Anolis sagrei: one gene and its partner. The protein of the gene in region 1 interacts with the protein of each later gene in a pairwise test. Links are inferred from orthologs where the notes say so. Each region holds a gene or a part of one and is shown on either strand. Other genes may lie near its edges.

What was found. The genes of interacting proteins can lie anywhere in the genome.
Region 2: the proteins of FOSL2 (region 1) and DDIT3 interact in binary tests that used the Homo sapiens proteins (3 or more experiments, as listed by UniProt). The two-hybrid records come from large-scale screens. The link is inferred for Anolis sagrei from reciprocal best matches to the Homo sapiens genes FOSL2 and DDIT3.

What each region holds. Positions count from the first base shown.
Region 1 is NC_090021.1:43,099,398-43,106,471, forward strand, and holds the start of FOSL2 (fos-related antigen 2), read right to left. Parts: upstream 3,017-7,074; 5' UTR 2,377-3,016; coding exon 2,278-2,376; intron 1-2,277.
Region 2 is NC_090022.1:185,996,856-186,004,809, forward strand, and holds the start of DDIT3 (DNA damage-inducible transcript 3 protein), read right to left. Parts: upstream 3,008-7,954; 5' UTR 2,494-3,007; intron 1-2,493. UniProt on the Homo sapiens protein: Multifunctional transcription factor in endoplasmic reticulum (ER) stress response. Plays an essential role in the response to a wide variety of cell stresses and induces cell cycle arrest and apoptosis in response to ER stress.

The DNA.
Region 1 (7,074 bases):
TTTGGACTCCGACTCCCACCATCCCTAATAGCCTCAGGTCCCTTAAGCGGCTGAAGCGGGCGGGGGAGGGGGAGGGCCTGAGGCTGTTAGGAATGGTGGGAGTTGGAGTTCAAAACACCTGGAGGGCCCAAATTGGCCCATGTCTGCTCTAAAAGGAAGTGAAGTGAATTGGAAAGGAAGGAAGGAAAGAACGAAAGAAAAGAAAGATAGCAGAAGGAAGGAAAGGGAAGGAAGGAAGGGAAGAAAGAAAGCAAGGAGAAGGAAGGAAAGGAAGGAAGGAAGGAAGAAGCCAAGGTGAAGGAAGGAAGGAAGGGATATACAGAAAGAAAGAAAGAAAGAAAGAAAGAAGCAGAGGGAAGGAAGGAAAGGAAAGAAAGGAAGAAAGAAAAGAAAGAAAGAAAGAAAGAAAGCAGAGGGAAGGAAGGAAGGAAGGAAGGAAGGAAGGAAGGAAGGAAGGAAAGAAAGAAAGCAGAGGGAAGAAAGAGTTAAGTGGGAAGAAGGTGTTAAAAGGAGTGGTGGGAGTTGAAGTCCAAAACACCTAGAGGGCTGAAGTTTGCCCATGCCTGCTCTAAAGGGAAGTGAAGTGGGAAGGAAGGAAGGGAAGGAGGGAGGGAGGGAGGAAAGAAAGAAAGAAAGAAAGAAAGAAAGAAAGAAAGAAAAGAAAGAAAGAAAGAAAAGAAAGCAGAGGGAAGGAAGGAAAGAAAAGGAAGGAAGGAAAGAAAGAAAGCAGAGGGAAGAAAGAGTTAAGCGGGAAGAAGATGTTAAGAGGAAAAGGAAGGACTAAAGGGGGAATCTGGAAACAAAGCTAAGAGGCAAGAAAGTGGGGGAAAGGGGGTTAAGAAGGAAAGAAAGCAACAATGAAGAGCAAATAAACTAGCTAAGAGGAAAGAAAGAAGTTGGGAAGAGTTAATTAAGAGGGAAGGAAGGAAGAAGTGAAGAGGAAAAAATTGAGTTAAGGCGAAAGAAGGAGTTAAGAGGGAGAGAGGCAAGAAAAGGGTTTAAGAGGGGTGGAAGAAAGAAAAAGGAAGAAAGAAGCCGCCAAGATTTGAAGCTGCAAGGCTATTCAATGTGAATCAAGGTGGCCAATTGCAGCATTCACACTCGCCTCAAGCAGGCAAGAGTTCTTTCTCCCACCCTGGACATTCCACAGATTGATAAACCTCACTTTCCTAGTTTCCAACAGACCTCACAACTTCTGAGGATGCCTGCCATAGATGTGGGTGAGATGTCAGGAGAGAATGCTTCTGGAACATGGCCATACAGCCCGGAAAACTCACCGCAACCCAATTTTTGACTCTGGAAAATGAATCAATCAGGGCCAGCTAACACCTCCCAACAAAAGATTCCCCCAGGCAGCCAGACCTTGAAGCTGAAAGACTATTCCACACTTGCCTCCTTGACATTCCACAGATATATATAAACCTCACTTGCCTAGTTTCCCACAGACCTCACAACCTCTGAGGATGCCTGCTATAGATTCAGGCAAAACGTCAGGAGAGAATGCTTCAGGAACATGGCCAGGCAGCCCAAAAAACTCTCAGAAACTCGAAGAATGTAATAATAATACTAATAATAATAATAAGTTGCTGTAGGGCCATGTTCCGGAAGCAATCTCTCCAGATGTTTTGCTTGCATCTATGGCAAGCATCCTCAGAGGTTGTGAGGTCGCCCATAGATGCAGGCGAAACGTCAGGAGAGAATGCTTCTGGAAACATGGCCATACAGCCCGGAAAACTCACAACAACCCAGTGATTCCGGCCATGAAATCCTTTGACAATACAATAATCATCATCATCATCATCTACAATATAGTTCTACAGTTGACTCTCAGCTGGAACTCTCAAGCAACCGGCAAAAACTACAGGAAGATAGAAGGAAGGCAGGGGTGACGTTGGAAGGAAGGCAAGAGTGAACCGGGAAGAAGGAAAAGAGTGACGAGGGAAGGAAGGAAGGATGAAAGGAAAGAAGGAAGGAAGGAAAAGAAAGAAAAGGAAGGAAAGAAGGAAGTAAAGAAAGAAAGAAAGAAAGAAAGACCGAAGAAAGAAAGGAAGGAAGGAAGGAAAGATCGAAGAAGGAAGGAAAGAAAGACTGAAGAAGGAAGGAAGGAAAGCAAGACTGAAGAACGAAGGAAGGAAGGAAGGGAGGAAGGAAGGAAGGAAAGAAAGAAAGAAGGAAAGATGGAAGAAGGAAGGAAGGAAGGAAGGAAAGGAAGGAGTTTACATTAGGGAAGAAGAAGAAAAGGAAGGCAAGAAGAAAAAAGAAAGGCAAAGGTCTTACCTGTTGCGTGGCGAGGCCGGGATAGGTGTCCGGATGGCCTGGCGACCCGCTGCTGCCCCGGGAGGAGGTGTCGAAGCTGCCGGGAAAGTCCTGGTACATGGTCCGAGGAGGCGCCCCCCTTCCCGGGCCCCGCCTCGACTCCCTTCCCTTCTTCCCGGACCCTCCAAGGCCAGGCTCAGCCTTGGCTCCCCCTCTTCCCCTTTGGCTCCTTGGAGAGCCCTTTCCTTGTGCTTCCCCTTTAAAGACAGCCCAATGCCAGCCTATCCCCAACCCTTAGAACTAATTCATGGAGATGCGGTTGCTTTTTGAAAGGCTTCTTTCCCTCCCTCCCTTCCTTCCTTCTATTCTCTCTCTCGCTCTGCTTCCTGTATTTTAAATCAAGGGCGATCTTCGCCTCCTGTATAATTAAAGCGGGAGAAAAGTGCCGGCTTCCTGCTCCGAGGTGACTCAACTAGCCTCACATCGGAAGCGCGTTATTTGTTGGGTTTTGACAACAATGCTCTTCTGAGTTATAGAGACAGATAGATAGGCACTAGATAGATCTCTCTCTCTCTCTCTCCCGACTTCCTGCCTTGCTCTCCCCTTCCCTCCTCTTCCTCTCCTCCTTTTCCCGAAGTGAGTCAGGGGTGAGTTCAAGCCCGGGCTCTCGGGGCTCCTGCCATCCTTCCTCCGAGCTCTGCCTCGGAAGCTCGCCTCTTCTAAGACCATGTGGATTCGCCAAACGTCAAGCCAGGAGGCTTTTTGGAGGCCACGCCCCCCTCTTCTCTGACGCAACGCGGAACCTCCCATTTTTGGAAAAGGGAGGGAAGAGGAGGGGAAAGGAGAGAGAGAGAGGGCGCAACCATTCTGCCTCTTTCAGCCCAGCGGCGCAGTCCATTTGCTCCCTCGCTGCCCCACCCCGAAGTGACACGGAGCTTGCATGGTCTCGTCCAGACTGAGAGCCCCATCCTTCTCTCCCGCCACCCCCACACTTGGACACTTTGGTCTCTTCCATTGTCGCAGGCCCTCCTGGCCAAAGATGGGCATTTGCGTCGCGCGACGCCAGCGCGGGTTTCCTTGGCGAGAGTGACGTGGCAGGCGCGCGAGGGATTCCCTGCGAGAGAGGGGAGGGGGCACAAAAACACCCATAAAGCGGACCGAAACCGCTTCACCTCCCTTCAAAGCTGGATCTCGATTCATGTCAAGGGCCCTTGTGGTGGTCTCTTCCATCTCTAGGGTTTATTGTCGAAGGCTTTCATGACCGGAATCAGTGGGTTTCTGAGAGTTTTCTGGGCTGCCTGGGCATGTTCCTGAAGCATTCTCTCCTGACGTTTCGCCTGCATCTATGGCAGGCATCCTCATAGGTTGTGAGGTCTGTGGGAAACTAGGCAAGCAGGGTATGTATGTGTGTATACACACACACACACACACACACACACTGGACATTCCACAGATATATCTATCTATCTATCTATCTATCTATCTGTGGAATGTCCAGGGTGGGAGAAAGAACTCTTGTCCGTTGGAGGCAAGTGTGAATAGAATAGGTTCTTGTAGGTTTTTTCGGGCTATAGGGCCATGTTCTAGAGGCATTTCTCCTGACGTTTCACCTGCATCTATGGCAAGCATCCTCAGAGGTAGTGAGGTCTGTTGGAAGTAGGGAAATGGGTTTATATATCTGTGGAATGACCAGGGTGGGGCAAAGGACTCTCTGCTGAAGCTAGGTGTGAATGTTTCAGCTGACCACCTTCATTAGCATTTGAAGGCCTGGCAGAGCCTGGGACAATGTTCTGTTGAGAAGTGTTGAGATGTGCCTGGTTGTTTCCTCTCTGCTGTTTTGCTGTAGTAATTTTAGAGTTTTTTTAATACTGGTAGCCAGATTTTGAATAGTGAATGGAATAGTGAATGGAATAGTCTTTCAGCTTCAAGGTCTGGCTGCTTTCTGCCTGGGGGAATCTTTTGTTGGGAGGTGTTAGCTGGCTCTGATTGATTCATTTTCCAGAGTCAAAAATTGGGTTGCAGTGAGTTTTCTGGGCCGTATGGCCATGTTCCAGAAGCATTCTCTCCTGACATCTCACCCACATCTATGGCAGGCATCCTCAGAGGTTGTGAGGTCTGTTGGAAACTAGGCAAGTGGGGTTTGAGTTGTTGTAAGTTTTTCAGGCTGTGTGGCCATGTTCAACCTCTGAGGATGCCTGCCAAAGATGCAGGTGAAAGGTCAGGAGAGAATGCTTCTGGAACATGGACATACAGCCCAAAAACTTACAACCACCCAGTGATTCTGGCCATGAAAGCCTTCAACAAAACAAGTGGGGTTTATATATCTGTGGAATGTCCAGGGTGGGAGAAAGAACTCTTGTCTGTTTGAGGCAAGTGTGAATGTTGCAATTGGCCACCTTGATTAGTTTCAAGGTATGGCTGCTTCCTGCCTGGGGGAATCCTTTGTTGGGAAGTGCTAACTAGCTCTGTTGTTTCTTGTCTGAAACATTCAAAAACAGAGGAATTCCAGACAAGAAACAGTCAAGGCCAACGAATCACCTCCCAACAAAGGTTTCCCTCGGGCAGTAAGCAGCCAAGCTTTGAAGCTGCAAGGCTATTTAGTGCTTTTTTTCCATAACAGGAGCAACTTCAGAAACTGCAAGTCACTTCTGGTATGAGAAAATTGGCCACCTGCAAGGATGTTGCCCAGGGGACACATCCTTGCCGATGTTTTACTATCCTTGTGGGAGGCTTCTCTCATGTCTCCACATAGGGAGCTGGAGCTGACAAAGGGAGCTTATCCGTGCTTTCCCTGGATTCAAACCTCCAACCTGTCTTCAGTCCTGTTGGCACAAGGGCTTAACCCATTGCGTGACCAGGTTGGGGGTCCTCTGGCTATTCAGTGCTAATCAGCGTGATCAGTTACAACATTCACACTTGCCTCAAGCAGACAAGAGTTCCTTCTCCCACCCTGGACATTTCACAGAAATATAAACCCCACTTGCCTAGTTTCCAAAAGACCGCACAACCTCCGAGGATGCCTGTCATAGATGCAGGCGAAAAGTCAGGAGAGAAAGCTTCTGGAACATGTACATACAGTCTGGAGAACTCACAGCAACCCAGCTCTAGGGTTTTTTTTAATACCAGGGTGGGCCCTAAACTGCAGCTACACTGTAGGGCGCTTCTCCATTGTAGCATGAAAGCACCACTGTCATTGTTAACAGTTCCATGTTTACTTCTAATTTAGTTCTTATAAAGGATTCCCCCAGGCAGCAACCAGGCAGGCTTTGAAGCTGCAAGGCCATTCAATGCTAATCAAAGTGGTCAATTGCAACATTCACACTTGCCTCAAGCAGACAAGAGTTCTTTCTTCCACCCTGAACAGATATATTAACCTCACTTGCCTATTTTCCAACAGACATCTCGGCCTCTAAGCATGCCTGCCATAGATGTGAGTGCGAAACTTCAGGAGAGGATGCTTCTGGAACATGGCGATACAGCCTGGAAAATTCATAGCAGCCTAGTGCTTATATTTTGCAGGTTTTACATTTTATTCTTTTTAGTGTTGTTTGAGCTGCTTTAAATCTCCTTTAGGGGAAGAACATAATGGAATAATAATAATAATCTGACAATATAGTTCTATAGTGGACTCTAATTAACCAGAACTCTCAAGCAACTGGCAAAAACTACAGGAAGGGCTATATTCTGCCTTGGTCAGACCACACCTGGAATACTGTGTCCAGTTTTGGGCACCGCAATTGAAGGGAGATGTTGATAACCAGGAATGTGTTCAGAGAAGGGCCACTAAAATGATCAGGGGTCTGGAGAACAAGTCCTATGAGGAGCAGCTTAAAGTGCTGGGCATGTTTAGCCTGAAGAAGAGAAGGCTGAGAGGAGACATGATGGCCATGTATAAATATATGAGGGGAAGTCATAGGGAGGAGGGAGCAGGCTTGTTTTCTGCTGCCCTGGAGACTAGGACGAGGAACAATGGTTTCAAATTACAAGAAAGGAGATTACACCTGAACATTAGGAAGAACCTCCTAACTGTGAGAGCTGTTCAGCAGTGGAACTCTCTACCCCGAAGTGTGGTGGAGGCTCCTTCTTTGGAGGCTATTAAACAGAGGCTGGATGGCCATCTGTCGGGGGTGCTTTGAATGCGATTTTCCTGCTTCTCGGCAGGGGGTTGGACTGGATGACCCACAAGGTCTCTTCCAACTCTATAATTCTATGCTGTAGAATTGTGGGGGTTGCAGTTTTGCAGGGCACCGCTGCTCTGGAGACCTTGTCAAACTATAATTCCCAATGTTTCTGCTGCTCGGTGGGATCCTTGAACTCCCAGGGCCCTTCCACACAGCCCTATATCCCAGAATATCAAGGCAGAAAATCCCACGGTATCTACTTTGAATTGGGCTATCTGAGTCCACACTCAGATATTCTGGGATATAGGGTTATGTGAAAGGGCTCTCAGATAACCCAGTTCAAAACAGGTATTGTGGGATTTTCTGCCTTGCTATTCTGGCATGTAGGGATGTGTGGAAAGGCCCCCAGTGGACTATGCTGATTCCTCGGAGGGTAGTGGACTCTCCTCTGGAGGTTTTTAAGCAGAGGCGGGATGGCCATCTACTGGGAGTGCTTTGAATGCGATTTTCCTGCTTCTTGCCAGGGGATTGCACTGGTTAGCCCATTAGGTCTCTTCCAACTCTAGGATTCTGTGCTGTGGAATCATGGAGGTTGTAGTTTGGTGGGACACCGGCATGCTGGAGACCTTGTTAAACTACAATTCCCAATACTTCTACTGCTGGATGAGATCCTTGAACTCCCAAGGCCCTTCCACAC
Region 2 (7,954 bases), on another chromosome or scaffold:
GGGAAAAGATGTGTACCATCAGAGCCAGCTACTTTAGCACAATAGAAGGTGTAAATAAAGCAGTCAGACACCGTTGTATAATGGCAACAGAATCATGGGAGCTTCAATTTTCCAAGGTCTTTCAACTTCTTTGTTAAAGAGTACTGGTGTCCCCTACTCCCAGGATTTCATAACCTTGAACTATGGCAGTTATAGTGGTGTTAAGATGCATTAATTCTACAGAACAGGTGCACCTAGATCTCTTAGCAGGGTCTTCTTCTCTGCAAAGCTGAGCAGGAAACACCGAGTCTTTACAAACCACAGAACCAAGCTGTGCCCTATCTATTCCCTCTTGAAGCAACTAAAGGACCCACAGTTTCATGTGGGTCCTCAGAATATATTCATCTACTGCCATTTGATACCTCTTTAATTGCCATGGCTCAGTGTTATGGAAAGATAAGAGCTGTAGTTTTACAAGGACTTTAACCTTCTCTGCCAAATAGCCTCAGTTCCTCGGCAAACTACAACTGCCTTGATTCCATAACAGTTAAAAGTAGTGTTGAGCTGTATTACTATCCAACTTATAATTGTACATTTTATCAGCATTGGTGTTTTAATCTTTGCTCTATGATTTTTAGCACTTTTTTTTACAATTGTTTCATCAATGTATCTTGTGCCCTGCATCAATCCGTGAAGAGAGCCGGGTAACAAACAACATTTAATTATATATAATAATTAAATATATTAATTTTATTATGTATAATATGTATATTATTTATTATACAATAAATATATTATTAATAATAATGTTATTTGTTATATATAACACATTATAACATTAAATAACAGAGGTGGATAACATTTAGTATTATTAATTATAATAATATAATATATTTATCTTATATATAATGTACTTAGAATATATTATTAATAATGGTATTTGTAATTTATTATAATGTATAACACTGTATCTATATAAATAAAAATGTAATGTGGGATTTTGTTGTTCATTTGTTCAGTCGTTTCCGACTCTTTGTGACCTCATGGACCAGCCCACCCCCAGCTCCTTCAAGGTCAATCCAGTCACTTCAAGGATGTCATCCATCCATCTTGCCCTTGGTTGGCCCCTCTTCCTTTTTCCTTCCATTTTCCCCAGCATAATTGTCTGTGGGATTAACCTAACTCAAAAGCCACTGGGCGAATTGACACCAAATTTGAACACAATACAAGTATCAGGCCAACAAGTGACCATCACTCATAAAAACATTGAAAAACACAGCGGAAGAGACTTAAAAAGCCAAAAATAAAAAATAAATTACAACGCATGCGCAAAACCACATATATACAAACAGACTGGGCCACAGCAACGCGTGGCAGGGGATGGCTAGTAATATATATAATATAATATCAGGATTCAAATGGCTGGCAGGCCTGGAGGGCCTTTGGGTGCATTCACAGTGTAGATTTATTATTAATATATCACAATATTATTAATAGTGATTTATGTACTTATTATTTATATGTCATATTTATTATTATTATTTATTTAGGAGCCCCTGGTGCCACAGTGGGTTAAAGTGCTGAGCTTGTTGACCGAAAGGTCACAGGCTCGAATCCTGGGAGCTGTGTGAGCTTCTGCTGTCAGCCCCAGCTTCTGCCAACCTAGCAGTTCGAAAACATGCAAATGTGAGATCAATAGGTATTGCTCCATCGGGAAAGTAACGGTGTTCCATGCAGTTATGCCGGCCACATGACCTTGGAGGTGTCTATGGACAATGCCGGCTCCTTGGCTTAGAAATGGAGATGAGCACTACATCCCAGAGTCGGACGCGACCGGACTGCATGTCAGGGGAAAACCTTTACCAACCTATATGTCATCATTTATATTATTTATATGTTATGATTTATATTAATATATATTAAAGTATTTATATTATTTGGTTTATATATCAATAATGATGATGATATATTAGTAGTAATGCTACAGTGTGAATGCACCCAAAAGCCTTCCCTCAGTTTGAATCCTGATTACCGCCTTTATTTACGAATTTCTCTCAGGCCCCTTCCACACAGCTGAATAAAATCCCACATTATGCTCTGAACTGGAATATATGGCAATGTGGACTCAGATAACCCAGTTCAAAGAAGATATTGTGGGATTTTCCGCCTTGATATTCTGGGATAGAGGGCTGTGTGGAAGGGCCCTCAGTTTTAGCATGGGGAATCCTTTATTTCTCTCAGGCCCCTTCCACACAGCTGAATAAAATCCCATATTATGCTCTGAACTGTGTGGACTCAGGCAGGAAGACACAATTCAATCTCTCCTGACAGATGGCCATCCAGCCCCTGCTTAAAGACCTTCAGAGAAGGAGACAGACAGATAAATAAATAGAATCCTAGAGTTGCAGTGTGGACTCAGATGACCCAGTTCAAAGCAGGTATTCTGTGATATTATGCTGTGTGGAAGGGCTCTTAGAGGAGAAGAAATAAAAGGCCTAAAAAAGCCCTTCCCACCCTTTAGCTGAAGGAGTTCATGAAGGCCAGGGCCCCCAGGACTTTTCCCTTCATCGCTCCGCACCTTCCTGCGAATCTCCTTCTCGCCTGTGATGCCGCCTCTCTTCTGCTGCTGGCTCTGGCTCATTCTCCCTTCGATGCTCATTCTCTCCTTCCGTGCGCTTCTGCCGGCGTCCAAATGCCAACTGCCTCCTCTCGCTCCGGGGGCCGGGTAGACGTTCGAGCGCGCGCCGCATGACGCAACTCTTGCGCCACGCCGGACCAATCACCGTCGCCGCTTCTTTTCATCCAATGGCCGTCGTCGCCGTCGCCTTCTGGCCCCGCCTCCGCCTGGACTCTTTTTTTTTTTCTTCCTCCCAGCGGGAGTGAGGTGGAAGCTGCCGCGTCGCTCCCGGAAGTGACTTCTCCTCAAGCTCCTCCCTTTTTCTCCCCGCCCTTTCAGGGTCACGAGTCTGGAAGGGGGTGAGTCATGCGAGGAGGGTGATGCAACGGCCTGGCAACCCGAGGCCCGGGCCCTGACCTTGGCCACCCGCCACACTCGCTTGAACGGACCTTCGTGGCTTCTCCTACCTCCCCCACCCCACTGTTTCCGCGGTTTGGAGGCCCAGTTAGCGCGACTGAAGGGGGACTAGGCCTAGCTACGTTAGGAGAGGCCTTCCTTCGGAGAGGCTTTATGACGTCACGCCCCGCCCCACCTTGTGCGTTAAAGGGCCAGGCCTCCCTGGGGAAAGTGTGGCTGCGTTGGGGAGGGGGAGCAGCACTCCTGCCTCCTCAGATCCTGCATATCCAACAACCCATGGAGATGGCTTGTAGTGGTGTGCCTCCATGAAGTTATTGCAGTTTGACACCCTTTATTAGAGGTTTTTCAGGGGCAGACTGTATGTGGTTAATGCTGGAGCCACATCTTATCTATCTATATATAAATTCTCTGTGCATAATGAGTACCTTAAAAACAAAAGAACCAATGAACGAAATCACACCAAAGGAGTGACCATCACTCAAAAATTATGATTTTGTCATTTGGGAGTTGTAATTGCTGGGATTTATAGTTAACCTACAATCAAAGAGCATTCAGAACCCCACCAGCGATGGAATTGAACCAAACTTGGCACACAGGACTCCCATGACCAACAGAAAATATTGAAAGGGTTTGGTGGGCATTGACCTTGAATTTGGGAGTTATAGTTCACCTACATCCAGAGAGCACTGTGGACTCAAACGATGATGGATCTGAACCAACATGGCACAAGCACTCTATATACCCAAATATGAACACAGATGGAGTTTGGGGGAAATAGTTGTAGTCACTGGGATTCACAGTTCACCTACAATCAAAGAGCATTCTGAACCCTACAAATGACAGAATCGAGGCAAACTTCCCACACAGAACCCCATGACCAACAGAAAATACTTAAGGCTATCCAATCCAACTCCCTTCATCAGGGCAAGAAAACATAATCAAAGTCCTCCTTACAAAGAGCCATCCAGCCATAGATATAGATAGATAGATAGATAGATAGATAGATAGATAGATAGATAGATATGATTCACACACAGAGAGATCTAGTATCATAGATTTGAAAGGGACCCTTAAAGAAGGACAATGATATGTTGCATGTTCCTGGGTGGGCAAACCAGACACTGTCCACATCAACACTGACAAAGAAACAGCAAGAAATACTGTACCCACAAGCATAAAAAAATTACAAATATTGTAAACCAGCACTTTCTCATTATTTTCCAGATCAACAGACTGGGCCACAGCAACGCGTGACAGGGGACAGCTAGTTGCTTTATAATCCAGTTTCTGGGCCCTTCTGCACAGCCCTATATCCCAGAATATTAAGGCAGAAAATAATAATAATAATAATAATAATAATAATAATAATCTTTATTTATACCCCGCTACCATCTCTCCAAGGGACTCCGTGCGGCTTACATGAGGCCAAGCCCACAGTACATCAATAACAACAGCAATAACAAAAACAATACAATCCAATTAATATAAATCACATAAACAATAAACAGTAACACGCAAGCATTTGAAAACCAATGGCCGGGCCAAATGTAATAATTTAAAATTTAAAAAATAATGCTGGGCATGAACAAGGTAAGATATAACTGGGATAGGGTTTTCAAAAAGAGATGAGGGAACGCAATCAGTCCTAAATCAGTGGCAAAGTGCATTTTGAGGGCATATTGCTGAGAGTTTTCCTTATTCTGGGAAGGCACACTGGAACAACCACGTTTTCAGGCTCCTCCTAAAGACTGCCAGAGTTGGGGCATGTCTGAGGTCCTTGGGAATGAGTTCCAGAGTCGGGGGGCCACCACCGAGAAGGCCCTCCCCCTCACCAATCGTGCCTGCGAAGGAGGTGGGAGCGCAAGCAGGGCTCTCCAGATGATCAAAGAGATCGTGTGGGTTCGTACACAGAAATGCAGTCACGCAGGTAGGTGGGTCCCAAACCGTTCAGGGCTTTGTAGGTAAGAACCTGCACCTTGAATTAGGACCGGAAAATGAACGGCAGCCAGTGGAGCTCCTTAAACAGGAAGGTTGACTGCTCTGTAAGAAGCACCAGTTAGTAACCTGGCTGCCACCCGTTGTACCAATTGAAATTTCTGGGCCGATTTCAAGGGCAGCCCCACGTAGAGTGCATTACAGTAATCCAACAAACCAAAAATCCCACAAACCAAAACAGTTGTATTGCATCAAAAACAAACAAACAAAACACAAAGTTTGCAGACTTGGTATTCTATTAAATGTCCTTTGACCATTGGAGTGCCTCTGGTGTTGCTGCAAGAAGGTCCTCCATTGTGAATGTGGCAGGGCTCAGGTTGCATTGCAGCAGGTGGTCTGTGGTTTGCTCTTCTCCACACTCGCATGTCGTGGATTTCACTTTGTAGCCTCATTCCTTAAGGTTGGCTCTGCTTTTAACTGGGTTATCAGAGTCCACACTCAGATCATGTGGGATTTTCTGCCTTGATATTCTGGGATATAAGGCTGTGTGGGAGGGCCATAGGAATCCAGATTATCTGCTTTGAATATGATTATTTAATAAGAATAATAGAATCTTTGAGTTGGAGGAGATCTCGTGGGCTATCCAGGCCAACCCCCTGCCAAGAAGCAGGAACACTGCATTCAAAGCACCCCTGACAGATGGCCATCCAGCCTCTGTTTGACTATTAATAATTAAATTGTTACAATTATTAATAATAATATTTTTTCATAGCTCTCTTAATGGCTCAAGGCGGGTTACAAAACAATTAAAATACATAAGCACAGCAAAACACTATAGATACACACACACTAAAACTTACCTCCATAACAGTTACGAACCAAAACGTATCTCTATGAAATACATATTAAAACACAATACCAATTAAACAAAGGGCATGCATTAAAATTCATATTTATGTTTAAAGGCAGTCTGGGAAGGCCTGTCGGAAGAGACAGGTCTTCATTTGTGCCTTAAATTCCAAAAGCAGATTTAGCTGTTGGAGCTCTACCGGCAGATCATTCCACAATCTTGGGGCGGCCAATGAAAAGGTCCCCTGAGTGACAGCCGCTAGTCAGGTTCTGGCTGGTTGGAGCAGACGCCCCCTAGAAGACCAAAGTGTGTAAGGCGGATTGTATGGGAGAAGGCAATCCTTTAGGTAACCTGGACCCAAACCATGTAGGGCTTTAAAGGTCAAAACCATACCTTTATACTTGGCCCGGAAACGAATTGGCAGCCAGTGGAGTGACTTTAGGATAGGTGTAATATGCACACTCCTAGATGATCCGTAACCTGGCTGCCGCATTTTGAACCAGTTGAAGTTTCCAAACTTGGTACAAGGGTAACCCAGTGTTAAGTACATTGCAGAAGTCCAACCTTGAGGTTACCAGTGCGTGCACTACCATCTTCAGGTCCTCCAAATCTAGGAAGGGGTGGTGCTGGCGGTTCAACCGAAGCTGATAGTGAGCACTCCTGACTATTGCATCTACCTAGGCTGACATTTGGAGAGAGAGATCCAGGAGTACTCTTGAGCTGTGAACACAGTAATTCAGGGGAGTGTAACCCCATCCAGAACTGGTTGACACCTCCCCACCCCCAGATCAGGATCTTTGATGGCAAGCACCTCTGTTTTGCTGGATTCAGTTTCAGTTTGTTTTTCCTCATCCAGCCCATTACCTCTCCAGGCATTCATTCAGGGGAGGCATGCTATTCTTAGCTAAAGCTGTTTTTAAAGGCATGGAAAAATATTTTTGGGTGTCATCAGTATACCGATAACACCCTATCCTGTTCCTACAGATTATCTCTCCCAGAAGCTTCATGTAAATATTAAAGAGCATTGGGGATAGAATGGTACCTTGTGGAACACCACATAACAGTTCCATGCTGAGTCCACAGTGCCATATAATCCAGTTCAAAGCACATAATCTGGGTTCAGAAACTGGATTACATGGCAGTGTAGATGGGGACTCACTCAAGGTCATTTGATAGGTTTCCAAAAAGCTATGCCATGCTTGGGACCCAAGCCCAATCACGAGATACATGTATGTCTCAAATGCACCTTAAACATGTAGCCTCAGTTTAATTTTCTACACAATACTTTTCATGAAGCAAAGTTTGTGGGTACTGAACCATCAAAAAGCAAAGGTGTCATTATTCATTGGCCTTTCCACACAGCCATATAACCCAGAATAATATCAAGGCAGATAATCCACTGTATTTGCTTTGAATTGGGTTATTTGAGTCCACACTACCATATAACCCAGTTCTGTGTGGATTTTATATAGCAGTGTGGAAAGGGTCTGAGCCACCCATCAACAATTCAGGATTTTGGAGTGATTCTGATTTCTCTCTGAGGCATGTGTGAATGTTACAATTGGCCACCTTGATTAGCATTTAATGGCTTTGCAGCTTCAAAGCCTGGCTGGTTGCTCCCAGGTATCCTTTGTTGGGAGGTGTTAACTGGCCCTAATTTATTCTTTTCTGGAATTCCCCTTTAGAGTGTTGCTCTTTATTCTCAAACAGACAAGAGTTGTTTCTCCTATCCTGGACATTCCACAGATATATAAACCTCACTTCCTTGTTTCCAACAGACCTCCCAATCTCTGAGGATGCCTGTCACAGATGTGGGCGAAATTTCAGGAGAGAATCCTTCTGGAACATGGCCATACAGCCCAGAAAACTCACAGCAACCTAATGATTCTGGCCATGAAAGCCTTCTACAAGACATATGCAAGATTCTCCTGCAGCCTGAATGTATCCATGATGTGGGCCTCAAACTCGTGCGCCAGTTGCGACCTTACCTCATGAAGCCACCCAAATACCTGGGAGTAACTCTGGACCGTGCTCTTACCTACAAGAAGCACTGCCTGAACATCAAGCAAAAAGTGGGTGCTAGAAACAATATCATACGAAAGCTGACTGGCACAACCTGGGGATCACAACCAGACACAGTGAAGACATCTGCCCTT